3 linked regions of the Caenorhabditis elegans genome follow. The protein of the gene in region 1 purifies or fractionates together with the protein of each later gene. This does not show direct contact. Each region holds a gene or a part of one and is shown in the gene's direction. Other genes may lie near its edges. The genes, in order: vhl-1, hif-1 and daf-15.

Region 1 (9,405 bases):
TTTCAAAGCTCTGTAAATGTTTCTTGTTTATAAAATTCCTCTCTCGAAATAAGTGAACCTCTGATGCAATTGGCGGTTGTTCAATAACGGGCGAATCGACGTCATCGTCATGGACTTTAACATGATACGCTGTAAACATGAAATTCAAACACTTATAAGAAGTAATAACATCAAATCATCGTGACTATAAAAACTAACCGATTGGAGTTGACACTTCTCTTTCCACAGTTTCGGGTACTGCCAACTTCTTCAAATTCGACTGTACTTTTCTCTGCTCTCCAGCTTTTGCCATTCTTTCCATCAACTCATCGTCAACTGAGAAATCCTCTTCGAACTTCCAAACCATGTTATTTTCAGTCTCACTAAAAAAAGTTAAATTGATGATTATAATCCATACCCAGCTATTACCTATCACTTTCGCTTTGTTTGGGTTTAGTAACTCCATGGTTTTTTGTTTCTTGTTTTTCCCCTAAAAAGGTGTTGATACCGTCTTCATCTTCATCACCAACCATCTCGAAGGAGTGTTTACGGGTTGTTTCAGATGCAGGTTGTGTTGCTAAAAAAATATATATTATTGAAAAAATAAACACGGCATTCGTATGTCATTCATCCACAACAGGCTGTCAATTTCTTGAAAACCACGTTAAAAATGTTGTGACACTTTTGCTCAAATTTGTTTCTGAGATTCACAAACAGACTTCCGATTTTTTACTGTGACAGTTTTCCACTCAAAATGTAAATTCGTACCATTATTTTCTGACTGATCTATATTCGCGCGTGGAATCGTCGGTCTGAAATATTCTAAAGTAATTATTTCAGGTTCCTATTTTTCTCACGGCGTGAGCCTTTGTCCTGGAATTGGTTGTCCGCCACCCATGACTCTTCCAGACGTTTGTACAGCACCTTGTCTTGCCATTTCACTCTTTTTGTCTGCATACTCTCTTCTCTTCTGGTTCACAAGTTCAATAAAACTGAAAAATTCAAATTCTATTTTAAGAGTTTTTCGTAATATTCATGACTGCGCTTACGTGTCATAGTCGGCCTCTGGGGTCTCCTGATAGCAGTCAAGCTCGTGATAGCTAGACACAATTTCTGATTTATTCGTTTCTAATTGTCTGATTAATGATTCACGCTGAAACGTCATTAGTGAGAACTTGAGTAAAAACAAAATAATACCTGAAGGCAAAGGAAAGGGATGTTGAAAAAGTGATGTACGAATTTTAGTCCAAATGCATATCGCATTGATGCCGGGGCAAAACGAGCACGTGGAGAACCATCTGGGGAAGGATGACTACTGAAAGCAAAAATTCAGATAAATTGTATTTTTGAAAATGAAAATCTTACCTATTGAACAGCTCAACAAATGTCGAGCACTGTAGATCGGTGACTTGACGGTGATGACCCATGTCTCGACGATTTGCCAGAACAAGAACAGGAATCTTGTTCGGAACTTTCACAATCTCCTTTTGTACATACTCCCATGTCCACGTTTTTGTAATATCAAATACAAAAATGACACCATTTGTTCCTTTGTAAACATCGACAAAACGTGCATCGCAGGCTGTGTCCTCGTACTGAAATATGTGGAATATTACTGATTTTGTCAATAAAATTAAAGTGTGTTTGTTGAAATTTTAGTTTGAAATCAAAAATTTATCATGCTGTTAAGTTTTTGTTTCTTGATTTGAACCCATGTCAAACATTTGATGTGGAAACGGTAATTTACTTGAAATGAATTTGCAAAATCCAGTTTAACTAATTTTTGGCATTTTGGATGTTTCTAAATTAGTTTAACTTTAAACCTTTTGTCCATTCAAACCACTGACATTGATTCTGAAACTAGTTTAATATTAGCTCAGAAAGATTGATACGCATTAACAAATCATGTTGTTATGTTTTCAACCTATCATTTCCCACGCAAGTCAAATACCACACTCTACATATCGATGAGTTTTCTGAACTATTCGTGAAATGCGCTGTAACCGGTTTGTTGCAATATCACTTTGCATTTTTTAAACGATTTCTTATTCCGTTACCAGTGTACAAACATTGTCGGAAAATTCTTTCAAAGATTTCCATTCTTCGCTGAGGATATTTCTTCTTTAAACTATTTTCAGTTGTACGCATTTCTTAAGTTTTTCAATTTAAGACTTACATCTAAACCATCATTTTTATCCATCCCATTGTTCGCCAATTTTAACTTGTCATCCTTGACCCTTTTCTTAGTGGATTGATCTACAATATCCCAAACATCAACTTTGACAACGTCATCCGTTGCGCGATAGTTCCAGTTGATGTTGGCTACCTGGAATCAAACTTTGAGTATTTTTCAAATTTTGAATTTTTTGATGCAAGCAAAGTCTGTATCCATATCCAAGCAAATACGAGATCTTACTTGAATCTCTTCGGTTGCCACGTATTCCTCTTGAAATGAAAGCCCTTGAAGTCGTTTCCATAGACAAGTTTTACCGACGTTTCTGTCTCCGCGAATTACAATCTTCACTAAAAACATTTAATTACCAGAAGCAGGTGAAATGGAAAAAAAACTAACAGTTGTACTGTACTCCTCGAGCGAATTTTCTCTGCAATTCCGCGTCGACTCGTTGTACACCTGACGGCATAACAGTCGACTTGTTCTCTTCTTTGTCACCACCCAATTTTTTTCGTATTGCGGAGAACATCTGAATAATTTTTTGAAGAAGATTTGTTTGGTGCAAGTGCAAGTAGTGCTCAAATAACATTCAAAAAAGGTATTATTGTCTTGAAATAAAACAAGAGGAAAGACAGTACGTCTTATCAAAAATTGACAACAAAAAGATAAGATTTCTTATTGTTTTTATTTGTAATCGGTACATTGAACGAATTAATGGAAAAATTGGAAAAATTGAATTATCCGTACTTCGTTTTTTGAGCGAAAATTTTATGTTTTCTTCACACAACGGGGTTCCATTTGGCGTATCGCTGAAAAAACACGAATTCATACTTTATTCAAAGCTTTTTGACGGGTCCTGTGTATTTATTTCATTTACAACACTGAAGCTGAATCCAATCAAATCCTAGACGCAACGGATCACCAGAAGATCATCAGTAACAAATGATAAATGGAATTTGTTATTCTACCATGTCATGACCATCTTGTTCTGTCCTGTAATTCAACTTTCCTCATTTTATTTTTAAAATTTTTTGTTTTAAACGAAGAAATTTAAATTAAACTAGGCGTTTTGAAAAAAAAAATCCGTCAGTTTTAAAAAGTATTCTTACACAAACTTTTGACTGTGTTTTAAAATTTTAAATAATTTGTTTTCCAAATTAAACAAAAACTCACGTTGCATCAGGACTGAAGTGTCATAAACCGCTGTCAATCGGAGCACTGTCTTTGTTTTATCCAATTGGAGTTTTCATTTATAAAATGATTTTTGTGTGATTTTTTGCAAGCTGGCGTACAGATTTTCTTAATTGTCTGGCAACCCTTAGATTTTCTTCACAACTGATGTTAATCCCTGAAACAAAAAGTACGGTCAAGGCAACGCCCTTAAATCAATATTCAGGCAGAAAAGAAGTGTGCGGAGAAGAGTGTTCGACGGCAAGCAATACACTGGAGGCAATAGGATAGACGTGGTGGCCACCGAATGAATAGGGAGGCCTCTTTTTTGCAGGAGGGCTCTTTTCGTTTATATGCCTCGGTGAGCTGGCACTTAACGTTTTGTGTCGTTCCAAACCTAATAATCGGTGAAGACAACAAAAAATTGGTTTCTGATCAGACATTATTGGAACTTGTGTTTCAGATTTATCAAAATTATTGCAACTAAATTAGATTTGAAAAAAACAACTCAACGAACACATCATTTTCTGTTTTCAATCAATAAATAAAATCAAGTTAGAAAACATTTTACAATTATTGTTGAAGTACATTAATAAATTTTCAAAATAATAATTAAGCGTCGAGGTAATATCAATTTAGGTTGTTCTACACATCGTATTCGTGGCAGAGCTAACAAGAAAAGGCCGGGGACTAAGAATCCAGCCGTCTCGGCCCTCAGTCCACTACACCCGTCCACCTCTTTTTCACAGCGTCTTTTTTATTGATTAATACCTGGTCCTTTCGTGTTACTTTAAACGTTTAATTATTCATTATGATATGTGAAAAATATGTTTTTATTGGTTTTCAGAAGAAAAATGTCAGACGGTTCGATGGATGATGATGGAAGGTTATTTCCTGACTTGGGCTCATCAACACATGACAATCGAGAGATACGTGTTCGTTTCCTAAACAGATGTGCTTACCCCGTGGACGTGTTTTGGCTGAATCCATCAGTAAATTTAATTCTTACACAACGAAAAAGATAAAATCCTTAAATTACAGAAACAACCGACAAAATACGGAACACTTGCCCAAAAAAAGTATTTAGACATTAAAACTTTCAAGGATCATCCATGGGTTGCTAGGAGATCCTTTGATGGATGCAAAGTATTGGTAAACGAAAAAGAAGTATTCTGGCCGGAGCCAGCTCCTCGAATGAATTTGATTGTTCGAAATCATTGTGTCATCACAATGAAAGGTAGGCTTTTTTATTTTTAAAAGGTTACATAGAAAAATGGAAAAGAAAACAATTGAATAAATAATCAATTTCTTGAATTTTCCGACGTTAGTTTTACGATTTCGTTGTCACTTACTCAGTGAGTGGTAATAATGCAGAATAAATCGAATCACATGTTTCCCCATTTCTAACGATTAATTCCTCTTTGCACCTCACTTTTAACTGTTAATATTTTTTCAGTTCAATCCTTACGAGAAATTGCCGGACGTTCGTTCTTACGGCATAATCCAACTGAAGTTCCAAACAAAATCAAAGGACTTCCACGAGAACTACAATTTGAAGTCAAACATTTTCTGGATAGAAAACAAGAATATTCCGAAATAGTCTGCCGTTCAATTCCTCCTCCTGGACCCCAGAGACCTCAGCAATGATTCTAATTGTATATAGTTTCGAAAATTGTCATGATAGAAGCAATTCCATTCCCCATACGGTCGTTTTCTCAAAAGTAGCATTGAATACTGTTAATGATTTTTTCACCATTTTTGTCACAATTTTTGCTAGCATTTGTGGTAAAGTATTTTAAAAGCGCAAAAGTTATGTTGGCAAATGATGTTCTGTAAGATAATTTATTATATTTCATGTTACATTCGGACTGAAGTACAAGAAAAATTAATATGGTCAAAGGTACACACGACTTTCTAATTTCAAAAACAAACAATTTACAATTGAAAAAATTGGAGAGCAGAAAAATCAGCTTACGGCTTTTTTGCTGAAAATAAATTGATTTCAGATTTTAGTGCTCAATTCCCAGCGTTAGAATTCATGAAGTTTCGCATGCAATTTCAATATTTTTGTTATCATCACTCAAACCAATTGTTTTTGATTTTAGCAATTCAAAGCTTGTTTGTTCTCACAAGAACGCGGAACACGAAATGGAATATTCTTTCAAAATATTTGCATTTTACCAATTTAATATCCAATTCATTATTTATTATAATAATTTTTAACCGCATAAAACTTAGAACAAAATTTGAAATTCGATGACCCCTATTTACAACTAGTTGGACATAGGTAATGAGTATCAGCATCTAACCGGTTCAATAGGTATTATACAACAACAATTAAAAAAAAGGAAAATACTTCTAAAATTCTTAGAATAGCTATACAATAATTCAATTTCCAAACATTGTCGACAGGATAATGTAGACAATAATGAAAAATGTTATAGCAACATAATTATAGTACTCCTTTCTGCGCATTTCGTTGATTTCTCGTTTTAGACTATCTGCTTTTCGTTCCAAATCAATGCATTTGACGCGGAGTTGTTCATTCTAAAATTTATCAATTGTTTGCAAATATTGTTTTATTATTGATGTAACTCACTGATGCATCCAAAGTATTATCATACGCTCTTCTTGATTTTTCCTCCTCTCTCGATAGTTCGTTAATACTATCCAGTACGTTTTTCAGTGTATAATTCTGGATAACCTTGCTCATGCTGACACGCTTCCGGCAAATGGGGCAGTGAAACGACTGAAACACAGAGTGAAATCCTATTATATTAGCTTAAAATCTGCATACGGTTTTTTGAAAATACATATTCCATAAAATCTTTGTCCCGAAATGTTCTCGAGAAACAAGTCTGCGGACCAAGAGTTCCTGTTAGAATTAATCAATTGATATTCCATCTAACAAAACGAATTTTGAAAAGTAAAAAGTGCGCACAAAACTGAATTTCCCATTTACCGCTTCACTAACACAACACGGAACCCAAAGACCCTTTTCTCAAGACCATGCTTATAGAGGAATTACAATTACGGTTTACAAAACTTACATTTCGGTTTGGTTCTCTTGTATCATTCATCACTTCCGAATGAGCCACTTCTTCAATGCATCTATGACAGAATGAATGACCGCATGTCAGCGTTTGAGGGATTCCTTGAAATATGTTGAGACAGACAGCGCATCGTAATGTTTCTACATCAACTACGCATACATCAGCCTCGTCTAGGGATTTCAGTACCCGCTGAAATACATATATTCAACTCGAATTTTTTATTGTAGTAAATTAAATTGAAACTCTGCTCAACCATAGAGTTTTTCACCTGACCCGAAAATTGTTAAATAAAGTTTTTCTGATTGCTAATCGGTCTCAAATTGGATTCTAAAAACAAACAATGGTTGTCTTTCTATTTTCAAGTAACCGGGTATTTTTTGATTGAAAGAAAGAATTCAAATAATTTAAGTAACGTGACGATTTGAAAGAGAGCTATCATAATTTTGAATATAATAGTGAAGTATGTGTTTCCGTTCGCAAACTTCAATTTAAAAAAATTATTAGTATTTGTACATTTTTACACTTAAAAAACTCAATAAGTGTTTTTTTTTCTTCAGAAATATTCAATTTTGAAAATTGTAATTGATGTAAAACTCACTTTTTTATCCGCTTTCTTATCATCCTTTGGAATAAACCTGCGAAAAAATCCATACATGTTTTGTTTCACGTTCTGCTTCATCAGAATTAACTACCTGAAAGCATCCCTATAAATCTGAAGCAGAAATATTAAGTAATAAAAATGGCCAATAGAAACTTTAACGCAACGATAAAAGGACACAACCGGGCTCGAAATCGATGTGGAAAGGGAATGTGTTGCCTGCGTCTCTTTTGCGCGTTGATCTCTTACGATTAAGTCAGTCGGGGGCAACCCGGGAACACAAAACAACCAAGAGACAACAAGTGAAGAGGACGAGGAAAAATATCACTGGAACGATCAACAAAAGTGAAGAAGTGGAAAAACAATTAGTCCGAATGATACTTGAAAAACATTTATGATTGGAGAAAAGAGGAAAACTACAGATTAATCGTACTAACAGACAAAATGGACTAAATGACCAAAACATGTTTCATTAAGATAGAGAATGAACAGAGAAAAAAGTACACCGTGGTACTCTAAAATTCTCTATTTTCTCTATACTCCAACATGTTCTTTGTACCCTGATATTTGTGCGGGAACAGAGAAGAGACGGGTACAAAATATACGTGTATACAAACAAAATCAATTCAAAACGAAAAATAAAATGTTAATTTTAACATTGTTTAATGATTCTATTTTATCTTCTGATGTATAAAACTGACAGTCACAGACATGACATCATTTTCTAACCGCATTTTTGAGTAGTATTTCATTGTCAAACACAAATTTCATAAATATCAACTGTATTATCAAAGCCAGTAGAATTGATTGGAGATTTTGATAGAATGTAACAATCATTGATCCACTTTTGCGAATTTTCTTCAATGAAACCAATAGCGGTGCAGGTGTGCTGAAAAATAAAGTATGGAGAGATAGATGAAGTTTGAGTGAGATTTGTTAATTTTTACCTTCTATTTAAGCTTTAGTGCATTCATTTCTAACAAGGAACAACACTTTTTCACTGTTAAATGAGAAATATAGATATATGTGTGTTACAGTGCTGGCCAAAAAGATATCCACTTTTGGTTTTTTGTGTGTAACTTTTTTCTAAGTGGTTATTTTGTTTTGAAACTTCACCACAGTGTTCACAAAATCTAAAAACACAATATTCATCAAAAATGTTCAACAGATTTTGAAAAAACTTCAGAAAAATTCAAAAAAATCGAAAAACTAGAAATATTGAAAAAACCGAGGTTGCAAGGAAATGACAATTAAAGTACCGGAATATGAGCAATTGGATTTAAAAACAACATAATTATGCTTAATACTTTGTCGCGTATCCGTTTGCATCAATAACAGCTAGACAACGACGTGGCATCGAGTCGATCAGCTTGTGAATAACTGACATGGGGATAGCTTTCCAAGCGTTTTCCAACTGGTTGAATTTGGCATCTGCATTTGAAGCCCGAATACCTCCAAGACGTCTTTCCAACTCTTCCCACAAATGCTCTATTGGATTCAAGTCCGGAGACTGACTTGGCCAATCGAGCAAATGCACACGACAAGGTTGAAACCAGGAACGCACATGAAGAGAAGTATGCTTAGGATCGTTATCCTGCTGAAACACGAAGCCACGGCCCACATTTTGAAGTGCCCAGGGTCGCATTGTAGTTTCCAAGATGTTTTCGTATTGAAAACGATCCATAATGCTTTGGATTCTCCTTAGTGGGCCCATGGAAGTGCTGGTGAAGCACCCCCACACCATGACGCTCCCACCTCCATGCTTAACGGTTGGGCATTGATACTTTGGAGAGTACCTAGAGCCAACAGGACGACGTACCCAGGAATTTCCATCACTCCCGAACAAATTGAACTTGCTTTCGTCAGACCAGATGTGTTTAGCCCATTCCTGACGTCCCCAACGAAGATGCGCTTTTGCCCACGCAACTCGAGCCATGCGATTTTTCTTACTGATGAACGGTTTCTTGACTGGCTTTCGTCCGTGTAGTCCTGCTTGCTGTAAACGTCGACGAACAGTTCGTTTACTTGGTACAGGTTCATTTGGAGAACTTATAATCGTTTGAATATCCGTGGCGGTCCTATGCGGATCTTCTCTTGCTGATCGGAGGATGTTGCGATCCATCCTATGGGTTGTCACTCGAGGCCTGCCGGGCGAGATTCTCAAAGCGACGGATTTCTAAACATTTATTATTAAAGAATAATATTTTTCGAACTCACCTCAGTTTGGTACTTCTTGATTACTTTCCAAATAGTCGACGGAGAACGTTGAATTTGCAGCGCGAGCATTTTCGTGGGTGTTCCTTGTTCGAAGCCAGCTACAATGGCTTTCTTGACGTCCAAGGAAAGATTTTTACACCCAACAGATTTTACCATACCTTAAAAATAATTTATCAACCAAACAAATCCAGTGCAACAAACAGAGTGCGTTTTAT
Region 2 (12,787 bases), on another chromosome or scaffold:
AATGACGTCACTCGTTTGCGCGGGAATCAAACTGAATTCGGTAGTTTCCTTGATTTTTGAAAAATTGAACAAATCATTAAAACATTAGAAAACTAAAAAATTACAGTTATATTCGATCAGAAGGGTATCCGTCATTAAAAGCAACATTTTTTTCGACTCTAATCTACCTTTAACGAAAATATTCTTGATTATGATCATTCTAGTATTAAGGTTCCCTCAAAATACCTCCTTGCGGATCTGAAATAAAATGAAAAAAAAAAAACAAAACAAAACAAAATTCAATTTCAGTTTTTCTTGAAATCTAGGCTTTAAATTTTTATTGCTAATCAAAATTCATTTGAAAGACGAAAGATCAGATTTTGCCAACGTTGCAGAAAGCAAACATACAGAGCCTTCCCCTCGTGTGTGTTCCATTTCATTTTTTTGTGCATTTTGTGCAACTCTCTTTCTTTTCTTCTCATTCTTTTTCAACTGAGTTTGAGAACTTGTGAGTGCAAGGTGCTCTCTTTCTCGCATCACAAATATGTTCTCTCTTCTCTTTCAAGTTTACTCGTTCTTTGGACTTGGACGCCGGCGCCACCGCGCGACTTCGCATTTTTCCTCTGAAATTGTTGTTGATTGAGGTTATAACCTCCGTATATTGAGGCTCGTATGATTCGTGACAAGGGTCTTTTGATCTTACAAAATTTGTTATGCCTTGACTCAAAGCCCTTGAGATGTCACCTTGCGTGCTTCCACGTCCAATTCATCTTAATTCAATTTCTAGCTAATAAGAATTGTATTTTGCAATACCTTTTTTATGAAAAATTTCTTTTTCCTCCACTGGTTGCATCTGTTTAGCTTTATAATTATAGTTGAGAGGGGTCAAATCGAACTTTGATTTCAAACTTCTAAGTGCCTATGCCCTTCCCATAATTTAGTTTGATTAGTTCTTTAAAGTATCAATGACGTGTTTTGGATTGTGGGACGTTGTTTTGAAAACAAGTCGAATGTTCTAGGCGTACTAGGTCTGAAAAATAACAGTTGAGAAGAAAACTGAACAACAAAGAGCGGTCAATGGGTATTATTGGAAATATTTTACGACTCTTTTCTTATGAAGTTTCGGCAGAAAACATTGGTTTTTAATCCTTGTAACAATTGTTCTGATTTTTTAAATCTTTAAATAAAGTTGTTTTCTATCAAAGGTAGTGTAGTCAAATTTTTTATTGCTTCATTAGACCCAAAATTGTCTGAAAACACCGAATTTCATATTGAAACTTCTTGAAAACATCAAAAAAACTTATGGCGGCTCAAAAAATGACAAAAAGTAGTCAAAATTTGAGATTGGACTGACTGCAGCGGCTAGAAACTAACTTTTCAAAATGACCGTTTAATTTCGGGGTATACCAGTTAATTATCTTGCGTTTTCAACTCGATTTCAAATTTGAACTAATTTTAGGTCATTTTTTTGACCCAACATAACGTTTTTTGAGAAGTTTTCTAGAAATTTCATTTTGAAATTCGAGGTTTTCAGACAATTTTAAGTCTAATAAAGCAATAAAAAATTCGACGACACCACCTTTAACAGTCAGCTGATACATAATAATAATATCACCTCAAATGTTTTTTTGGGAAAGGTTTTAACATGCTAAAATTTTCGGAAAAAGGGAGAAAAAACTAAATAAATTTTTAATTGGTTAAACACAACGTTGTTAGGGTTGAAATTTGAATATTAGTATTTTAAAGTCTGAATATACTCGAATGGTTAAATATTAACGATGGTCAGGCTAAACCTAGCATCATTTTTTTAGTTTAGGACTAGCTTTAATCTAAATTTCCTTAATTAATTTCCATTATTTTCCAGTGTACCTCCCTATTTCAACGTTTTCTTACCCATCATCCCAATTTCATTTACCGCACCGCCCTTCTCTAAACCACGTGTTCCCTCTCTATGTCGATCTCTGCGTCTCCCTCGTTTATACTACCCTCTAGTGTCTCTCTGTACTCTTGACCATCATCGCGATGTACGCGCGCGTCGGAATTCTGTCGCGACAGCACTACTGACGTTGTCCTCTCTTTAGTTCTCTCACTCTCTCATCTCTTTGGACTCTCTCCAAATCGCACACTATTCAATATGTCTGCCTGCTTGTCTCGTGTCTCCGTGGTTTATGTACTTACTGGGTCAAGAGAGTGTGTTAGATGAGAGGTCTTTTTTTTGGTTTTTCTTCACCTCTCTCAATTTTCAGAGAAAACTCTACTTCTCTAATTCATTTTTTGATCAACGAAGAAATGTTTGGATGCCCATCTTTGGTTTGTAGGCACCGCCCACTAGCTGCTCAGTTTTTCTCTAATGAGAGATTTCAGATTTTCAGAAAATCTATTAATTCTTATAGTTCAAAGGTAACGCTAATAGGTTTGATTTCATTGATCTGTATTTTAAATTTTTATTTAACTCCAATGTCAAAACATAGCTCCTGAACCACATATCGGAAAAAGTTGATCCTTTCCATTATAAAGATATGGACTAAACTCAATTTTCGCTAAATTTAATCAATTATCAGTCACTCTACTTCTCTGTACTCTAGCTTTCCCCCAATTTTTTGTCTAACATTCTGTCAATCGACAGTCTCTGAGAAGTCGTTTTGCCCACTGTCGTTCAATTTCTTGTCTTATCAACATCTTTCTTCTTACATTTTGTCGTCGCCTCCCGCTTGTTGATGATGACTATCTGTTTCCCTCGTTTCATATGACTATTGATTTTATTTAATGTTCCAATAACTTTCGACAATTCTTTATTATATTTTGAGGATTTATATTAATTGTGCACTCTCTTGATGTATCGATATTTTCAATTTCTCGATTAAGCTAAAAAGTGTGATATGAGATGTAAGGACTAGCTTTATTAGACTCAAAACTGTCTGAAAACACCAAATTTCTTAATGAAACTTTTTGAAAACTTCTCAAAAAAATTATGGTGGCTCAAAAAGGACCTAAAATCAGTTAAATTTTAAAATTTGAGCAACTCTCAGCGGCTGAAAACTTATTTTTTTGTCATATTTTGGGCCGCCATAGTTTTTTTGTGTCCTTTTCAAAAATTTAATTAGAAAATTCGGTGTTTTCAGACAATTTTGAGTGTAATAGAGTAATTAAAAATTCGACTACACCGCCTTTAAGTCCAAAGATTGATTGAATCCCGATCTTAACTATTTTATTTGAAATTCACTTGATAATAAGGATAAACTAAAATCACTACACAAACTACCCTTTCTGAACTTGAGTATAGTTATCTTCAAAAACATTATTGTTTACGCTCGGTGAAAACACTACATTCTAGTGATTCCCCTGTTCTTTGACTTACTTCAACTACAATTTTTTCAAAGATTGATCGTAGTTCATTCATAGTTTGATGTTAGTCACCCCCTCAATCTTGCCCCATTCATACCATTGACGTAACATCAATATCCAGATTTATATTTTTGAATCGGGAAAATTTTGCTTTTAATCTTTTTGTGTGCCCTTTTCTCCTTCACTGGCTTATCACATGATTCTTGTAATCAGTTTGTATTCACTCAATATAAAGAAATTGACAATTTTTCTTGAATTGAATTCAGCGAAATTTCCAGTCTACCTAAGTTCTTGTTTTTAGATTTGGGTTTTAAATTGAGCATTTGATCTCTATGATTTGTTTTCTGCAACATTCTTATGATACTTGCCTAACAAATAGTCAATTGTCCATGAAATTGTTACAAATCTTGACGTCCTCTGGGACCCCGTCCAAACAACTGTCACTAACATATCCAATCGATCGTTTTGTGCACCCTTGGTATTTATGATGTTTCAATTTGTCTCACTACACTCTACCCTAGTGCTATAAATCATAACTAAACTTGATTTTTTATTCAAAAGTGTTAACATTCGAAAATCTAACAACCCCTTATGTTCTCAATGATAATTTTAAGAACATTTGATACAATTTTTCTAATTCCCTCTACCCGATTCTATTCAATTTAAAATTGTCATACATTTTCAGCCCACCTGAAAGTTGCCCGTCATTACGGGGAAGTTGCCCCAATCACACCAACCTCAGCTTCACTGAAGCTGCACCTATTCACTATCAAGATGGAAGACAATCGGAAAAGGTAGAGTTAGAATTCTGTTAGAATCGAAATTCATTCTTAAACATTCCATGATTGGATGCCTGAAAACGCTAGAAGTACCGTAGTCCTTTGGGTTTGCTCCATGCTCTGCTCGCAAATGAGAGAGAGGGAGCATTGGCAGAGGTAGATGTATTGAAAATGCGCATTTCCGAATCGAATATCAAATGTGAATCATCTATATAAAATATATCTCGCTCTTTTTAGACACAACTCATTTTTAATCGGAGATGTTAGATAAAGTAAATTATGAAAATAAATTGTGAAATAATTGTGATTGAAGGTGGAGTAGCGCCAGTGGCAGTTTTGCCTAAAAAATACACTTACAATGGCTCGAAACAACCAAAAATCATAATAAAACACTTAAAAATTTTTTAGATTTTTCATAATTTCCGGTCAAAGTTTTGGCAAATGGCCAAAATTTTTACAAACATAAGTATTTGAGGAATGCCGCATGTTCCGATCCCTACTATGCTTCCAAAATTATGAGTGGCAAAAATTGAGTGATTATCATCTAACGGACGGTAAATAAACAATTTCAAAAAATTTTTGACAATTTTTAATTTGATATTCGGTCATTTTAGTACCATTGGATTAGTTTTCAACACTTTCTCCACTGGCTCCTCCTACTCCACCTTTGAAAAAATAAATTTTCCCAGTTATACTTAAAACTAAATTAAATCGAAAAACCTCATGAGAAGTGTACTTATATAGGTATATAATTTTTTGAAATTCACCAATTTTGGGGTGACAAGAAATTCAAAATCAAACTTTTTAGAAACATGGAACGCCGTCGTGAAACATCGAGACACGCGGCTCGTGATCGTCGGTCTAAAGAATCGGATATATTTGATGATCTGAAAATGTGTGTGCCTATTGTTGAAGAAGGTACCGTAACTCATCTAGACCGTATTGCACTTCTTCGTGTTGCCGCCACAATTTGTCGACTGCGCAAGACAGCCGGTAATGGTAAGTGACATCGAATAAAGAAATAGTTGATTCAACATCAAAAATCACTTGAAAATCGTGTTTTATGCTGAGAAAATCGACCAAAAATCACTGCCAATTTTTCTCAAATTAATATTTTTCTTTCAGTATTGGAAAACAATTTGGACAATGAAATCACAAATGAGGTATGGACTGAAGACACCATCGCCGAATGCTTGGACGGCTTTGTTATGATTGTTGACAGTGATTCTTCAATTCTTTACGTCACTGAAAGTGTTGCAATGTATTTAGGATTAACACAGGTGAGCAATAGAAAACTTGCTTCTTTAACATCGATATATTTTCAGACAGATTTAACAGGTCGAGCCCTTCGAGACTTTCTTCATCCATCCGACTATGACGAGTTTGACAAGCAATCAAAAATGCTGCACAAGCCACGTGGCGAGGACACAGACACCACCGGCATCAACATGGTGCTTCGAATGAAGACAGTCATCAGCCCACGTGGAAGATGTCTGAATTTGAAGAGTGCTTTGTACAAATCAGTGTCTTTCCTGGTTCATTCAAAAGTTTCAACTGGTGGACACGTGTCATTCATGCAAGGTATCACAATTCCTGCTGGACAGGGTACAACTAATGCAAATGCATCTGCAATGACAAAGGTGAATATCTGCTTTGAATGTTTCATAGTAAGATTCTAAAGTTTGAACTTTTGATCTTGGGAATTTCTGCTCCTCCTTTCCGCTTCTTGATAAACTGATGGAATTGTGAGACAAAATGTTGAGTAGACGTTACACAATTTCATTTTCTTCTTATTCTTCTGCTCGCTCGAAAAGTTTGTTCTTTTGATCTTTAAAATAGAGAATAGTGCTTTGAGCAAAGCACACTCAGCCGTTGGCACCTCGCGCATAGAAAACAGGATTAGAAAATTGGAGAGAAGTAGAGAAGCACAAGCACATGCAACTTGGCGTCATCTTCTCCTTTTTTGAAGCAGAAGAGAAAACGGAGAAGATGTTACATCTTGTATTGCTGCTCCGTTTGCAAAAGTAAAATGAGCAGGGACTCTGAATACCTAGATAGAAAAGTGAGTCCTAAAGGGCGTGTATATTCGAAAACTTTTTCAAATCAGATTTATAGATGCTATAAGTTTAATAAAAATATAGATGGATTAATTTACAGTACACGGAAAGCCCAATGGGTGCATTCACAACTCGTCACACTTGCGACATGCGCATCACTTTCGTTTCGGATAAGTTCAATTACATCTTGAAAAGTGAGCTGAAGACTCTCATGGGCACCAGTTTCTACGAATTGGTACATCCAGCCGATATGATGATAGTATCAAAATCCATGAAGGAACTTTTTGCCAAAGGACACATCCGTACCCCGTATTACCGGTTGATTGCTGCAAATGACACACTTGCCTGGATTCAAACAGAAGCTACTACAATCACACATACGACGAAAGGACAAAAAGGACAATATGTCATTTGTGTTCATTACGTTCTCGGAATCCAAGGAGCTGAAGAGTCATTGGTAGTTTGCACTGATTCAATGCCAGCTGGAATGCAAGTAGATATCAAGAAGGAAGTGGATGATACAAGAGACTATATTGGAAGACAACCTGAAATTGTGGAATGCGTCGATTTTACTCCATTGATCGAGCCAGAAGATCCATTTGATACGGTTATTGAGCCAGTCGTTGGTGGAGAAGAACCTGTTAAGCAGGCTGATATGGGTAAGTACATGTTTAAGAACGTATTAAAAGTTTGTAATTATACAGTTTGATTCACCTAAGTTTTTTTTATCCAAATTGAATAATTTACGAGGTACGTATATAGGAATTTATTCGGTGACGGATGAGTATGAGCAACGTGTTTATGGGCAAATTTCTGCCGGCAATGATATAGAAGACTGCGATATGGATTCTGATACAGAATCCATAGAAGATTCCGGTTTAGCACCGGAATTCGATGTGGATCTGGCTCCGATTTATAATGAGAAAATGGAAGTTGACGGAGAGGATGAGGACGGCGGAGAGGAGGTACTTTGGGAAATGGGATTATGATTACTAAGTTAAAAAAACAACAGATCGCAGTTTTCCCCTCCGTTGTCCTCATACCTCCGTGAGTTTCTCTTTTTCTTATTTTCAAACTTGTCAAACTTGTCCATGCATGTCGTATTATTTTTTACCCTACGCCTACTCAAAGTTCCATACATTTAGCAAGTGATTTCTTAACGTGTGTATTTCAGGAGCACGTAAGAACAGCTACGATGACGTTTTGCAATGGCTTTTTCGCGACCAGCCAAGCTCTCCGCCGCCGGCACGCTACCGGTCAGCGGACCGCTTCAGGACAACCGAACCGTCGAATTTCGGTTCCGCTCTGGCCTCGCCGGACTTCATGGATTCGTCATCTCGTACCTCCCGACCGAAGACATCATACGGACGAAGAGCACAAAGTCAGGGAAGTCGAACAACTGGATCGTCTTCCACGTCAGCATCGGCCACATTGCCACACAGTGCCAACTACTCGCCACTTGCAGAGGGCATCTCACAATGTGGACTTAACAGTCCCCCGAGGTTAGTTTTTTATACATTTTTCACAATTAGCACGTTGAGCATGTACATGTTTATAATATCCTTGTATCAGTTGCAGTATCAAATCTGGACAAGTCGTGTACGGAGACGCTCGATCTATGGGACGTAGCTGCGATCCGTCCGATTCGTCACGACGCTTTTCCGCCCTTTCACCATCAGATACTCTCAATGTGTCGTCCACTAGAGGCATCAACCCAGTCATCGGAAGCAATGATGTGTTCTCCACTATGCCTTTTGCCGATTCTATCGCCATTGCCGAAAGGATCGATTCGTCGCCAACATTAACCTCTGGCGAACCAATACTTTGTGGTTAGTTTTTTTTAAATGTTCAAATCAATCTCATTCGTGAAAGAAATCAGATAACTTTCAACAAAATGTTTAACTTTCAGACGATCTTCAATGGGAAGAGCCTGATTTATCGTGCTTGGCACCATTCGTTGACACTTATGATATGATGCAAATGGACGAGGGGTTACCACCAGAGCTTCAAGCTCTTTACGACTTGCCTGACTTTACACCTGCGGTACCTCAAGCCCCAGCTGCTCGGCCTGTGCACATTGACGTAAGCCTGTTTTGTTTTTGGCTCCTAACATTATGTTAATTTTTGCAGAGAAGCCCACCAGCGAAGCGAATGCACCAATCAGGTCCCTCAGATTTAGATTTTATGTACACTCAACATTATCAACCATTCCAACAAGACGAGACATATTGGCAAGGACAGCAACAGCAAAATGAACAACAGCCTAGTTCTTATTCCCCATTTCCAATGCTCTCTTGATTATTTTCTACCCCCTCTCAAACTGTTCATTGTTTTGTTTTCAAAAATATACTCTTCATTCATTCAAGTCACACTTCTTATTACTTAATTCTATTGCTCTTTTTAAGAATAATGAGTTTCAAGAATCCTCCCCGATAAATTTTCCCCCATTCCTTTTTCCCTTTCCCTCTGATTTCTTTATTTAGTAAAAAAAAGAAGAATCGTAGTACAAAACGTGTCTATCTGTGTGTCCGTTTGTCCGTTTTTCCCATCTCCATAGTGATAGTTAATTGCATCATTTATACAACGAATCTTCTTATGTTAAGTTTTCTTTTCATTTTTTCACAATGCTCTCGTCTCATTCATTTTCAAAATTCTGTCCGTCTTCGTTTTCTTCTCGATAAAACCTTTTTGGTTTGATCATCTTTTTAAAACTTTACAAAAAGCACTATTACAGAGTTTAGCATTCATTTTTGTGGAAAATATCTGAAATTTTGAGGTATGAGCTTGTAAAGTGAAAACGCGTCTAAATCTATTCGTCTTGATTTACAAATTACTTCAAACGTACGATCTTCCTATTAGACTTTCACTTCTTAGTAGTACTGCACCTCGAACACCTTCTAAAATTTAGACTGTTTATTTTGAAATGTTTTTTTGCAAAATTACAACAAGGCTAGGATTATTGCATTTTTGTTCCAATTAACCACAATTTTGCAAAATGTCTTTCAGAAACAGTTGTTCTTGTAAATGAAAACATGGAATCCTAAACAAAAAAGGCGTATGAAAATTAGTATTGCACAACCTAGTTGTAATGCATTCGCTTTGAAAAATAGTATTGCATTCATATTAATAGATAATGAATACATATACGCATCAGACCTCCGGTTTTTTTTGTGGAAAAAGCGAAAAATGAAAAATTTTCTTACTTTTTTCTGTTTTCCAATTATTCGGTTTTTCGATTTTTCGGTTTTGCACAAGAAAAACTAAAAAATGGTCATGCAATAGTCAATGTTGAAAACTGTCAGTTTCAATAATTTCCGACAATCGGGGGTTTTATGCAATTTTATAAGTTTCAATATGCTAAGTTTCACTAATCAAACCGATTCTTTTTGCAAAAGTGGTTTGAAATTCCATATCAAAGATCAAGATCTAGAATTATCAAAACTACTGTTTCGGAACTAAAACAACTGCCTAGTTCAATTTGCCATTCCAAATCAGGGGTACACGGCAATTTTTTCTGTTGTGTCCGTTAGAATTGTAGTAATTAGTCGAACCCACAATTTATTGATGAGGTTAAATCGGTAATAAATATATAACAAACAAATGAGTTCAGTTCTATTCACACGTGTTGATGCCCTCTTGATAACCTTCGCTCACGTCATACTTCTTTCTGGTGTGTTGCATAACCACACAACATTTTCTGAACACAAAGTGCTTTAAACAATAAGGTAAAAGATATTTACCAAAGTTGTTGGTTGTCGGAAATTTTTGGTTCCCAAGCACCGAACAATAAGTTTTGAATTCTTCATTTTATCAAAATTTCAATAACTATTGCTTTACTTTTGAATAGGTTCGCTCTTTTTGGTTGTTGGTATGCTATCCAATGTTTGACTCCTGCCCTTTTGACTTTAATTTTCAATAAAAAATTTACGTCTCTCCATCTTTTTTCATTTCAATGTCAGTTCAGACGGACAAGTCAAAAGCGGCTGGTTCCGCCTAAACTCAGTGCTTTTTTTGCATTCACGTCATAATGGCATAGTAGAAAAAGCAGAAAAAATGAGATGAATGGCGGGAACAAAACGGATTATTTTTTGACATTAATAAATTGAACTTTCGAGATAAAAATGTTAATATGATTTTTTAAAACTATACATACAAATGGAATAACGTATCAAAAACTATCTATCTTGAGAAAAATCAAAGTTTTGTAGCAAGCATTTCCCACGAGAGTTCCTCAAAAATCGGAACATTCAAACTTTGTTCGAAAAACAAAAAAGCATTGATTTATAATGTGAAGATAGTAGAAATGCAGTGAATACTTTCGTAGTTACGGAATTTAAAATCAAATCATTACTGAGTTTGGAAAAGAAAATTCAGATATTTTACTTTGCAATAACTAACTGTAGAAGAAATGGTACATCATGCCGCATAGACTCGCTGCTTTGAGGTTTCTTTAACAAAATTGTACGGTGATATTAGAACCTATGTTAGGATTTTCGGCAATTTTCAAGCCTAAGTATTTTTCGGAAATCGAAAAAAAATTTGTTTTTTAGTATTTGGTTAGTCTAAAAGAAAGCGTTCAATCCATCAAGGATTGAATCATTTCGTGATTGAAAAAAGAAGTACTCGGCAGTTTGCTACTCCTGGCGCGCGCATGTTTCGCACCGAGCGCGCGGACGGAGCGCGCCCGGCGCATTTCATACGAATTTGGCCACGGCTCGTTCCCCTTCCCTTCATTACTATGCCAAATAAATTGTAAACGTAGAATACTGGGTATATTTAAATTTAATTTTATTAAATTGAAAAGGTTAAAAAAATTAAAAACTTCAAAATTAAAAATTGTTCCTTTGTCCAGTCAGTTCCCTTCTTTTTGTTGGAGCTCTTCAAGTTTTTTCGATGGACCTGAAAAATAAACAAGTTAATTTCATTCATTGAAACATTTTTCATGTTCATTTGAAGAAGAAAAAAAACTTACAGGAATCAGGGAGAATAAACAACTCCAAAAATCTCTCGTGCATATATGCTAGGGCCGTGTGAAGGTGGGGAATCCAAATCGTCTCCATATTTTGTTGCTTTTCTGAAAATATTAAATTCTGTTTTTTAAATAATCGAGATGCATAAAAGATATTGAAGACCGGGTATTTATCAAATTATTTATAATTTCGAAGAAATCGTTTTTACTATCTTACCGATGAACTATGTCATTCTGGTCCTCCGATTATTTGTTTTGACCAGGCATTTATGCAATTTCTGCAAATTTTTTCATTAATATTTAATTGAAAAATAAATAAAAAGTATAGAAAATGTGTAAAGTCGAAAAAAACTGAAAAAAACACGCTTGAAAAAACTTGAAAAATTTGGCAGAGTTGAAATCTAGGCCGCGGCCGCGATCTGCGGAGGGCGCGCGCACGGGCGCGTACAGAGCGTGGACGATCCGCGCACAGAGCGTCGACGATGTGGGGATTATGTTTTTTCTACGTGAATTTGAGGATTGGGAAGTCAAAACAACTATAAAGTGCCTATATACAGGTACTTTCTTATATACGGATCTATATATACACAAACATATCACCATAGTTTCCTAGTAATTGTGTACCATTTGAAATTTGCAACTTCGAGCAAATAAATATTCCATTTTAAACATTTACTTATTCATACTCTTGATTACATAGTAATAGTCTATAAAGTTTAGAAAAAAGCACGTTTACTTTGTTTTCTGGTTCCTGCTTCGTTCTTGACAGACTCTATTCGCATCCAGTGCGCATACTATGCGCGTCTCGAGCGCGCCTTTTGCGCTTTAGGTGCGCGCGCCAGGCGGATTCCCCTGACAGTTGCCGGTTTTCAATATTTCCGGCAATCGGCAATTTCGGCAATTGACGGTTTTGGGAATTTTTGGCAATCGGAAATTGCCGCGCACCCCTGGTTCAGCACTCATTTCCTCGGTTTTCAAAATATTTCAATTGAATTCAAAGCCATGTCTTTTTGTTTCAACAATTCGTAACTTTCACTGCTCCGCTTTTCTCAGCAGCATCAGTTCACCACTTCATCGTTTGGTCTCTGAAACACACAGTAATTTTATTTTTCGACATCAGGATTTCACAATAACAATTTCGTAGGACACTTCCTGTACACATGTGATCACTTTTATATTGTACAGTTATACTATGAATAAATGCCTTACAATTAGAGCTTGAGAAATTTATTCCTAGGCATTAAAGTCAATAGTCCATGAGACTGTGATACTCAAATGTAAAGTGCTCGCCTGCTACGTCATTTTTCATAGAAATATATTTCCAGAGAGTATTATATTTCATGTCTCAACTTCTTCAATTTTTTCTCCATTTATTTGGTCCCTTCTATTTTTTCTTGACCTCCTTGATTGTCATCTCTATTCATCCATCTATATGGCGCCAAGTTGAGTTTTTTCTCCCAAATACAAATTGCCTCTGGCTTCGCTTGAGAGCCCAGCTCGGGTATATAATTAAGCGTCGAGTCATTGAGTTTCTCTGAAAAAGAAGAATGGAAGAAAAAATATATGCATTGAAAAAAGCGTCTCCCTATATCTTGGCGCGTCGTTTAATGCAATTATCCAGGGATGCGGCCGCGCCAACCCCAGCAAGTGCCCCTCCC
Region 3 (10,785 bases), on another chromosome or scaffold:
CCAACTATGCAAGAGTACCGGCAGAGCAGTAGTAACTCCACTTTGTTCAAACTGCGACTTTGTTCGGTTTTTTCTTTTGGAGGATAAATGAATAGAAGTATTTTCTAACAATCAAAATGTTGAACTATAGTTTTTTATAAAACACTTATTCACTTCTGGAATGCTTTTGTGTGTTCCATAAGAACAGGAACATAAAAAGTTAGTTCCGGGTTCATTGTGATCTATGGTTTCATTTTTTCACCGTCTTCTTTTTTTAAAAATCAAATTGGTTACGTGCCAAGTACCATATATAATTAATCAAAATTTATTGGTTTTGTTCACAGAAAACCGATTATGTTCTTTGTATCAAATAATAGATATGTCTACGGTAGTTGTTCCCATAAAATTGATAAGATATGAGAATAAAACCCCCAAAAAGACATTTCATTTTTTTACAAGTTGTATAAAAGACCGCTCGGGAGAGAAGCAGTGACATTTGTGTTGAATATTTTCTAGTTCTTCATGCTTGTGTGAAAAACAAAATTAATCAGGAATGAGCGAGGAACATATTGCAGTAACTCGTTTCCGAGAGTACCTTCGTGTTAATACAGAGCAACCAAATCCGAATTATGGTAAGAATATACATTAGAACAGTCAACATTGTATAAAATTTTAGCTGCCTGCCGTGATTTTTTATTTAAATATGCTGACGAACTTGGAATCGCAAGAAGATCAATTGAGGTAGGAAAGTTTTTCAAAAATTTTTTTATGAAGTTTGTCCTTTTGAAAGTGGAACCAATATACTTTTTTTAAAATTTTTACAATCTTGATTAAAATGCTAGATTCTCATCCTTAAATTTTCAGACAGCTCCAGGAGTTTTCCTTGTAATAATGACGATTCCTGGATCTCAACCAGAATTACCTTCAATTATGTTATATTCTCATACTGATGTAGTTCCAACATTCCGTGAGCATTGGACTCATGATCCATATTCTGCATTCAAAGATGAAGATGGAAACATTTTTGCTCGTGGAGCACAAGATATGAAATGTGTTGGAGTACAGCAAATGGAAGCTTTAAGAAACTTATTTGCTCAGGGAATCAGGCAATGGAAGAGGACAATTCATTTGGTTTGGGGTCCCGATGAAGAAATATTTGGAATTAATGGAATGAAAGGATTTGCGAAAACCGATGAGTTCAAGAAGCTGAACCTTGGATTTTCATTAGATGAAGGGATGCCATCAGATGATGATGTCTACAAAGTTTTCTACGCAGAAAGAGTTGCGTGGTGGGTGAAAGTAACATTCCCTGGAAACCCTGGTCATGGATCACAGTTTATGGAGAATACTGCAATGGAGAAACTCGTAAGTTACACTCCTTCTGCAAATATTAAAACACTAAAACTTGTCTAGGAGCGGTTCCTAGCCAGTGCCAGAAAATTTCGCAACGAACAAAAAGTTGTATTGGAGAGTAATCCAAATTTAACACTGGGAGATGTTACGACTTTGAACGTGAATATTGTAAATGGTGGAGTTCAGTTCAATGTGATTCCTGAAAAGTTTGAAGCTTGTAAGTAATGTTTTCATTCAGCCTATAGATGTAAAATATAATTTTAAGATGTTGATATGAGATTGACACCTCATGAAGATTTTAATAAAATACGTGAAATGTTGGATCAATGGGCAAAGAATGCCGGAGAAGGTGTCACCTATGAATTTTCCCAAGTAAGGTTCTGAAACAAAAAATCAATCAAGGCTCTATTTCAGTATTCTGACCAAAAACCAATATCTGCACATACTCGAGATAATTCATTCTGGGCTGCATTTGAGGACAGTTTGAATCAAGAGTTAGTTAATTTTTTAACGGACATAATTTGAATAATAATATTTCAGAAACTGCAAATTTGAAAAAGGGATAATGGTTGCATCAACAGATTCAAGATTTGTGAGATATGTAAGTGATAAAATTGGCTAGTTTCAAATTGACATTCAGTTGATCTACTATTTCAGGAAGGAGTAAATTCCATTAACTTTTCCCCAATGATCAACACACCGTTTCTTCCACACGATCACAATGAATATTTAAATGAGAAAGTATTTTTGAGAGGTCTCGAGATTTATCAAACAATCATCAACAACTTGGGCAATGTCTAATAATTCAATTTTTAAAGTATTTTTTAAATGTTCTGTATAAATAAAAATGTTTGTATATCAATTCTACAAACTAGTAAAATAATTTTCTGCTTGTTGCAACGGTTCTCAACATATTCAGATTGCAGAATACCCATTTTCAAAAACTGCATAATGTGTTTGAAAGAAAAAAATTAACATTTAAATTTTTGCGAGAAAAATGTAATTTAGGCATATGATATCATATTTTAGAAAAATATAACCTACAAATGCTAATTACAAGTGTGAAAATTGATGTTGTTTGACTATCTGGCTAATGTCAAGTGATAAATTGTTCAGAAATTACTATAAAACCGATATGTCTTCGGTATTTTCTTTTAAACTCGTAGGTTTTTTCCTCAAACCTCTTTTAACAGCTTGAAAAGTCTCTTTTTTTTTTTAAATCAGGACGCCCCCATATTCAGTCACAAGCCAATTTTACTAGATTATAGATAATAAAATTTTTGAATCGAGGTGAGACCAGCTGTGTGCATTTAATAGGTAAAATTATCAATAATCATCAGATTTGTTAAATAGAATACTTTTATTTAACCAGGTTTCTATAGCGATATAAAACTTTTCCCATGGGCATTCAGATTTATACCCATTATTTTTCATATGATATTATTATGAACTAACATATTCTCATGTGAAAATTCCAGTTGACAAAACTTCTAAGAATTAGAGCAATTTCAAAATTTAATAATTTGAAATTTTTTAACAAGTCCTGATATCACTATCTTTTCTAAAACTTTTTGATTATTTATACATTTGCAGTCTGAACTCATCTCAATTACAGACATCTTCCATTATATTTTTGTTTTTTCTTATTACGTTTTTCCTTTCATTGGGACGGGACCACCATGACTATTTGGTTCATGAAAATTGGTATTCCTATCGCATTGTTAAATTATGTGCTTTTCTTTCGAATAAAAACAAATGGGATGATGTATATATTCCAGGAGTCAATATCTTGAAAGGAAGTGACAAAAGCACTAGAAGCTTCATTTTACATTCTTTTTCATTTATAAATGATCTCGTGACAATTTCTCATTTGTCACATTTGATATATTTTGAGTTGCTATTTGTTCATGTGCAATGAACGATGAAAACATTTGTGATATTTCTAGAAACTTGGCGACTTTTACTATTTTGTTACGGTTTTTGTCACTTTTCTTATTTATTTACACTTGGCTCAAGGATGTTTTTGATTGCGGATTATTGAGTTTATTGAAAAACCTCACAAAATCTTGTTTTTTTTTTCAAAGTGGAATTTCCAAAACGGTCGAGTTTTGCTCCATTATCACTTTTGGAAACAATTGAAGTGTACCATTTATTAATAAAACCTTCAAATGGGAGTTCATTTCTTACTATTAACATATTATTTAGAAACAGAGAACGAATACAGTATTCAACGAGCTATGTTACATTTGATAGAATTATGTTACACCTGCATTATCTAGTTAACATTTTACTGTTAAATCTGATTATATGATCAAGTTAACAGCAGAAATTCATGTTTAGCCGACATTAGATATGTTTTATTACCGTCGAAACTCCGTCAATGTAGCTTAACAAGAAAGCCATTCAAAAATGTCTCTTTACAAAATTTTGTAAAATTGGTAAATGTTTCAATTTCTTGCTTGTAGAGAAATTGAGAGCGTTTTTGATAGAATAATAAAAGCACACAATATATTTCCTATTAGTTCCTTACTGCTTTACAGCTCATATCTTATATATCTTTGGAATTATAAAAAATGTTCAACTATGAAATTACAAAATAAACATTTGACACATATTTTTATTGTCTTAAGGAAAAAATACGGTCATTCGGACAAACAAATGGGATATATAAAATGGGATAATGGGATCTTCTTTTTTTTTGACATATTGGAACTTCATTCTTGTATATCTTTATTTTAATTTCCCATTACCACTTCTCTGTTTTTCAACATAACATATGCATTTTCTTTCGAAATCTTTCTAGAATTTCAGATGCTGTTCTCATCGAAAATCTTGCTTCCAACGGTTTTCCTTCTGCTCTGTGCAACAACAGTGGCAGTGGATCCACTTGATTTCCTATTCAGCTCAAACATGGCTCGTTACCCGAGATATCGTCCGATTTCTTCATCCGCTGCATCTATCACACCGGATCTTGGAAAGAGGTTTTGATTTGAGTTCGCATTATTTCATTAGTTTTTAATGTATTGTATTTTCATTGTTAGCACATGAACTTGATTTTATTATAAAAACTGTTTAACTGGTAAAATATGTGTATTCAATATTATTAATGATGAGTTCAACTAGAAGTTGAAAACATTAAACTTTTTTGGGAATGTCTCCTTTAATTCTAAATTTGCTAGTTACAATAACTATTTAAATTCCAGAGCTCCACCTGGTTGTGTTTGCACAGAATTTCTTGGCTGCCATGGACCTGGATGTATGCGTCGAATGTATCCAAAGGCTTGAATCGTTAACTACTCCATTCATAATTGTTTCCATCTTTAATTACCAACCAAGTTTGAGAACATTTTCAAAATACAGTGACAACAGAACATCATTGAATAAAATACATTGTTAATGAATTTACTTTTGTTCAGAGAAAGATGGAATTTCGGCTCGAATTTCGAGATTAATTTTTTTTTGATATTCACAGCATGATTTACCTTTAACACCTTTAAATATACAATTAAAGTTAAGATAATACGAATTCTAGAAAGTAAGTTAAATTTAGGTGCAGTCAAATGTAATTTTTCACTGGTTTCGAGACAAAATATATGACAGTTGAAAATAAATATGCATGAGTCATCCCACAAAGTCAATTGACTCGAATAAATAAATATTTTTTTAAATTAAGATATTCCGAAATTTGCATTGTTTCATATCTGCTCTAGTATATACGCAGCACTGAATCACAGCCAATATAGAAAATAGTTTCCATTTTTTAATTTTGTTTTAATTATATTGTCGAAAAATTGTTTTAATACTTATTTGGATTAATTAAAATTTCGGTATAATGATGAAAACGTTGCGAAACCCGTAAATAAGGTGAAACTCTCATTTGAGTTTCCTCCAAAATGAGACAAAAAGTGCAACGGAGCGCACTTGCACGAATCACGTCTTCTTTAAATTCATTGCCAACGTGAGTTTCAATTTGGTTTTTGCACTTTTTGCCGACAAGAAAAATGCAATTTTGCACGAAATATTTTTTCTTAAACTCGGTTTCCAAAGAAAATTAAATTTATTGATTTTTTTATTTGTCTTGCTCACTCCTTCGTGAAGATCACATGATCGCACTATAACATGGCAAACAATTTTTGTTTCAGACACAAAATGGAAGAGGATAGGAGTATAACACCGTTTTCCTCGTTTGCAGAACGTTTGACAGTCAATTTGTGGCATGCTCAGGTGAGAAATTTAATTAAATAATGCAATTTTTTCAAGAAAAAACAAAAAAATATATTTGTTTCAGAGAAATGTAGAAAGAGTCACATTATATTTACAAGAACCCCGACATGTCGAAGATATCGCAGGAAGTATGGAAGATGAGTGGGATTGTATTGAAGAGTGGTTTGTTTTATTAGAGCATCATTTTAAAATTAAAATAATATTGTTGTGACGAAAGACGAAAAAAAAAACAGCAAATTAATGGAAAAACTCACAAAAAGTAAATAATATGAAATATTTTTACTGTTTTGCACTATACTATTTGGAAAATCAAAACGATTTCAGAAAACAAAGGGCATTCGGCAAGAAATTAATTATAAGTTAAAATAAATAATTTTCAGCGTAAATCGCCGAAAAGGCAGTGATCGCCTCCGAACTGCATCTGTCGCCATCATCATGTGTCTACATTTGGGAGTCGATCCACCAGAAGCTCCGTCTCGAAAAGATGCTCCTTCTCGTCTTTTATCATGGGTTGATCCATATAAATGTGGTGCACACAAAGCAGCCATAGAGATCGGATTGAGCACTCAAAGGGCTTATGAAAAGTGGCAACCAAAATCAAAGTAAGAGATGAATCGGATATTTCCAATGTTTCGGACTAAAATACGCTACTCTAGAATTCGGTTAAAAATTACAAAAATGAATAAAATTAACAAAAATGCAATCTTAAAGCCAAAAGGAGTTACAGAACTCGATATAAAATTTGTACGGATCCGCCTATCGATGACGTGAGAAAAGTTGCAACAAATCTTCGAAGAATCAGTGGAAATGATCGAGTTCTGTTTCACTACAACGGACACGGTGTACCGAAACCAACAGATAATGGAGAAATTTGGGTATTTAATAAAAGCTTCACCCAATATATTCCATTGTCAATATTCGATCTACAAGGATGGCTTGATTATCCCACAATTTATATCTGGGAAACTCATTCAGCTGAGACAATTCTTCATAACTATCGACGATTTGGAGAAGATCAGAAAATGTTTGTTTGATACCAAAAGTTAAGAACATACTGAATTATGGATTTTTAGATCCTGGCAAAGTAGGTTTGATCGATGGCAAGAGGAACAGAGGAATCTACCACCAATCTCATCAAAAATGACAGATGCTGATCAAGCAGAAGCATTAGGTTTTCCAGAGAAATATCCCAGATATAATGTAAGAATTGAATCTTTATAAGCAAATTTCCGACCAGCAATTCTCCAAAATGAGTCAGCGTAAAAAAAATTAAAGAAAAAATACTTTATTTCAGTTGGACTGATTGAAAACGTGCTCAAAAATTATTTGAAAGTTGGAATTTCCGGGAAAATTTCGATAATTAGTCGGTATTTTCGGCAATTCTCAGCTTTCAGAAAAGTTTTTAGCGTTTTTGAATAGTTTGAATAGTTTTTCAATTAAAGTGAAAGCTATTTTCCGATAAATCAAATTTTTTGCTATTTTTATCATTAAATTTTATAAAAAATGCTGGTCGATAATTTCCGCGTACCCCTGGTTCCGCACAAGAATTCACGTACCTAATTATTTTTCAGGATTGTATCCATCTAGCAGCATGCAGTGCCGGTCAATGGCTTCCAATGTCGAATCCTCATCTGCCAGCTGATCTATTCACTTCCTGTCTAACCACGCCTATCCGAACATCACTCGCATTTCATTTGAGTCATTCGGAGCATCGTGATGAGTATCCGGAAAACATTTTGGACATGATTCCTGGAAATCTTGCTGAACGAAGAACTGTGCTCGGAGAGCTCAACTGGATATTCACTGCCATCACTGACACAATTGCATTCACTTCAATAGATCGTGACTCGTTCCAAAAACTTTTCCGTCAGGATCTACTTTTGGCAACTCTGTTCAGAAGTTTCTTGCTTGCACAAAGAGTTATGTCAAAGTTCAATGTTTGTAAGTAATAAAATATCTGAAAGTTTAATGAAATCTAAACAAATTTTGAATTTCAGTACCAGTTTCGCAGCCTCCTCTGAAAGACACATCAATGCATGATTTATGGAGATGCTGGGATCAAACAATGGATATGGTTCTAGACTATTGTAGAGAATTGATTTATGTCAAAGAATGCGAAAGAGCACTGTTTTGTGGAAGAGATGTTATTAATAGAAGCAATGTGTTCCCGTTTTTAGGTATATTTTAATGCATTTGACTATTCACAAACTGATATTTTAGTGCTCATTGACTTCGAACATGTGCTGACTTACAATGAGACCCACCAGTACAACACATTCTTCACAGAACAACTACAAGCTTTTGAACTTTGGCTAGACTACGGTGTTGACGAAGGAACACCTCCACTCCAACTTCCGATGGTTCTTCAAGTACTTCTGAGTCAGGCACATCGTGTCAGAGCTCTACGATTACTTGCACGATTCCTTGATTTTGGTAGATGGGCTATCGGATATTCACTTGCCGTTGGAATCTTTCCATATGTTCTGAAGCTACTTCAAAGCAATATTAGTGATTTGAAAATCTCTTTAGCGTTTATTTGGGCAAAAATTCTGGCAGTAGATCCATCGTGTCAAATGGAATTATTCAATGAGTGTATCGATGAATCAGCAACACAACAACAATCACCAGCACAATCACAACAACCATCAGTTGCATTGAAACCATCATCCATGTTTGCAAATCATCCACCACCTGCACAATTAACAATGGATAAACGTGCACTTCAGATTAATACTCAAACTGGCGGAAGATTTCAAACTAATCAGAATCAGGCATTGGATATGCAATTACAATATGCTCAACAACAAGCTCATCAGAGGCAAATGGATCCATCAGGAGGACAACATTCACCAAATGCTCAGCCTAGACAACCACAACCACAGCAACCACAACAACTACAACAGCAACCATCACAGCAACAACAACAACAATCTAGACAACCGCAAGGAATTATGGTAAACTCACAATTTTTATTAGAACACAATTGGAGCTTTCTTTGAAAAAAACTAAATTAAAATTTCAGAAACCAACGAATGCACAGCCACAAGAAAAGAAGACAATGCTTCGTTTTCAATATTTCCTTCAACTTCTCGGCGATCCTGAAATCAAACCGAAACAGAAAACTGTTGCTGCATTCGTACTTGCTCAGCTAACATCCAATAATTTCAAACTGGCACAGAAAGAGCTCACCAATAAGGGATACATGGGAATTTGTACGGAATTGATGGTCGATGATACTGCGAGAAGCGTCAAATTGCTGAAACTGTGGATTCTGATTGGATTGGGTCGTCTGTGGTCAGATTATGATGTAGCCAGATGGCAGGGTATTCGATTAATGGCTCATGATAAAATGATTTTGGAATTGAGTGATGAATCAGCAGAAGTTCGTGCAGCTGCTGTATTTGCACTTGGAAGCTTATTGAGGAACTCTTCGAGATCAAATGAGCATGCATCAGCAGTTGAAGAAAATCTAGCAGGAGAACTATGTTCCCAGTGTGTGTTTGATAGTTCTGTTCTTGTGAGAGAAGAACTGATTGTTGCTCTTCAATGGTTTGTGTTTGATTTCGAGAAACGATTCGTGAAATTCTTACTGGAACTATCGAATCAAATTAAGTTCAAACTTCCACGAAAACGAAATTCTTCTGAAAATCTCAGTGAACAAGGATTGGATATTGCTGCAGAAATGCCATCAAATCATCGACGACCTCGTGCTCCACCAGTCAACGAATTCATGCAACCTTCAGTTATTCGAAAGAAAATGTCGACAAGTGTGTTCAGTACAGCTGTTGAAGAAACTGTGCATGAAGACGGAATAGGAAATGTTTACCACATTGCACATGAAGCTGGAAATCGTGTTGAACAAGAATCTGAAGATATTGAGTATAGGTAAGAAAGATAGAAATTGATTTATTGTAAAAAGTGAAATTTACAGAGAACGAGCAAAAGTACAGATCAAGCACTTGGAAGCGAAAACATTCAATGAAGCCGTTGCTAAAACTTGGTTGTCACTTTTAATATTGTCATTGGATCCTATTGAGAGGGTAGATTTTGAAAAAAAAGATTTTGAAAAAAAAAAGAATTTCTTAGAATGGTAAATATTTTAATTCCCACTTATTACTCATACGCAAATTATTGCGATTTCAAAAAAGACATCCGCCTTTAAAGAGTACTGTAATTTCAAACTCTGGTTTCTGTGGAGTTTTTATAGTTTTTCTCACAATTTATTAAATTTTTTGTGCGTTCATTGTAAAATTTAAGTTTTTTGAAAATAAATAAATATAGCTTTATAAAGCTTTATCGAAAAACAACAAAAATTTAGCAGAGACGAAACTTTGAAATTACTGTATTCTTTAAAGGCGCATACCTTTTTGCGTTAAACAAAAATTTGTCGTGACGAGACCGAATACAGTATTATCGTCACCTAATTCGCAAAATGTTTCGTCTGTGTAATACAACCAATACATCTCGTCAGGTTGCCCGAATGGCTCAAAAAATAGTGCATCGCGTCGAAGCAGGAATGCCCGAAATGCAAGCCAACATTGACAATACAATGGCTCATCTCAGTCGAAAAATGATTGCTCGTAAAAATTCGAAGGCGACTGTCGAAATGCCACGTAAACCAGTTGGACCGTCAGAAGAAGTTAGCACACTTTCAGAACGAATAAAACGAAATTTAGAAGTTGAAAAAGGTAGGTGAAAAATGAACGGAACTTTTGATATTCTATTAAAAGTTGTCGAAATGATTCCAGAGTCTGGAGTCTCTGCCGATGGAATTGACTTCACAAAATTAAATATGCAAAAAGCGAAGGAACAAAGAAAAGGAGGAAAAGGAGGACAAATCAAGAAGTTACAGGATGAATCAAAAGTCAAATTTCAAGTTGGAAGCCCTGGTGATGTAAATCAACAACATAGTTAGTGTATATTCGATAAAACAAATAGCAATTATAATAATTTTAGAAAACGCGTTGTCTCCTGGTAGTTCGTTCACAGATGAAACACAAAGCAGTGAACTTTTTTCCAAAGACGACTCTTCCGATGACGACGAGAACAAATCAGCCAACGATGAGAAGGATCGGGCAACAACTGCTTCAGGAAAAACTGTCAAAGGAGCTTTTCGTATGTTTTCCCAGTTTGTAAAAGTTCAATATAAATTGTAAAATTACAGGAAAATCAGACATCATGGATGCAGCTTTGATGGAGTTCACACCACGACGAACAAAAGCAGTTCCT

Evidence for each region.
Region 2: the proteins of vhl-1 (region 1) and hif-1 purify together in Caenorhabditis elegans (affinity purification with western blotting, with the first as the bait; one study listed by BioGRID). This does not show direct contact.
Region 3: the proteins of vhl-1 (region 1) and daf-15 purify together in Caenorhabditis elegans (affinity purification with western blotting, with the first as the bait; one study listed by BioGRID). This does not show direct contact.

Annotation. Positions count from the first base shown.
Region 1 is NC_003284.9:11,303,193-11,312,597, forward strand, and holds vhl-1 (von Hippel-Lindau tumor suppressor homolog), read left to right. Parts: upstream 1-4,163; 5' UTR 4,164-4,176; coding exon 4,177-4,314; intron 4,315-4,363; coding exon 4,364-4,559; intron 4,560-4,778; coding exon 4,779-4,969; 3' UTR 4,970-5,326; downstream 5,327-9,405. Other genes in the region: F08G12.1 (Rab-like protein 6), read right to left, coding at 1-10, 59-129, 199-362, 409-556, 748-791, 837-971, 1,029-1,132, 1,177-1,294 and 4 more; F08G12.5 (RING-type domain-containing protein), read right to left, coding at 5,711-5,869, 5,922-6,071, 6,373-6,564, 6,974-7,030. UniProt on the Caenorhabditis elegans protein: Involved in the response to variation in environmental oxygen levels by targeting the hypoxia-inducible transcription factor hif-1 for proteasomal degradation when oxygen levels are normal (around 20%).
Region 2 is NC_003283.11:20,776,404-20,789,190, forward strand, and holds hif-1 (Hypoxia-inducible factor 1), read left to right. Parts: upstream 1-4,003; 5' UTR 4,004-4,098; coding exon 4,099-4,118; intron 4,119-4,911; coding exon 4,912-5,102; intron 5,103-5,228; coding exon 5,229-5,383; intron 5,384-5,428; coding exon 5,429-5,743; intron 5,744-6,068; exon of another isoform or gene 6,069-6,132; coding exon of another isoform or gene 6,133-6,165; intron 6,166-6,260; coding exon 6,261-6,819; intron 6,820-6,922; coding exon of another isoform or gene 6,923-7,125; intron 7,126-7,334; coding exon 7,335-7,662; intron 7,663-7,732; coding exon 7,733-7,989; intron 7,990-8,069; coding exon 8,070-8,242; intron 8,243-8,290; coding exon 8,291-8,458; 3' UTR 8,459-8,857; downstream 8,858-12,787. Other genes in the region: Y44A6D.1 (uncharacterized protein), read right to left, coding at 11,013-11,059, 11,133-11,220.
Region 3 is NC_003282.8:9,380,983-9,391,767, forward strand, and holds the start of daf-15 (Raptor N-terminal CASPase-like domain-containing protein), read left to right. Parts: upstream 1-5,225; coding exon 5,226-5,290; intron 5,291-5,467; exon of another isoform or gene 5,468-5,474; coding exon 5,475-5,556; intron 5,557-5,620; coding exon 5,621-5,718; intron 5,719-5,936; coding exon 5,937-6,158; intron 6,159-6,274; coding exon of another isoform or gene 6,275-6,283; coding exon 6,284-6,580; intron 6,581-6,629; coding exon 6,630-6,756; intron 6,757-7,127; coding exon 7,128-7,497; intron 7,498-7,553; coding exon 7,554-7,733; intron 7,734-7,776; coding exon 7,777-8,510; intron 8,511-8,578; coding exon 8,579-9,441; intron 9,442-9,487; coding exon 9,488-9,596; intron 9,597-10,027; coding exon 10,028-10,244; intron 10,245-10,286; coding exon of another isoform or gene 10,287-10,304; coding exon 10,305-10,466; intron 10,467-10,512; coding exon 10,513-10,671; intron 10,672-10,720; coding exon 10,721-10,785. Other genes in the region: C10C5.5 (N-acyl-aliphatic-L-amino acid amidohydrolase), read left to right, coding at 533-611, 656-720, 844-1,344, 1,393-1,549, 1,598-1,704, 1,747-1,826, 1,873-1,933, 1,990-2,133; nssp-45 (uncharacterized protein), read left to right, coding at 4,144-4,313, 4,536-4,617.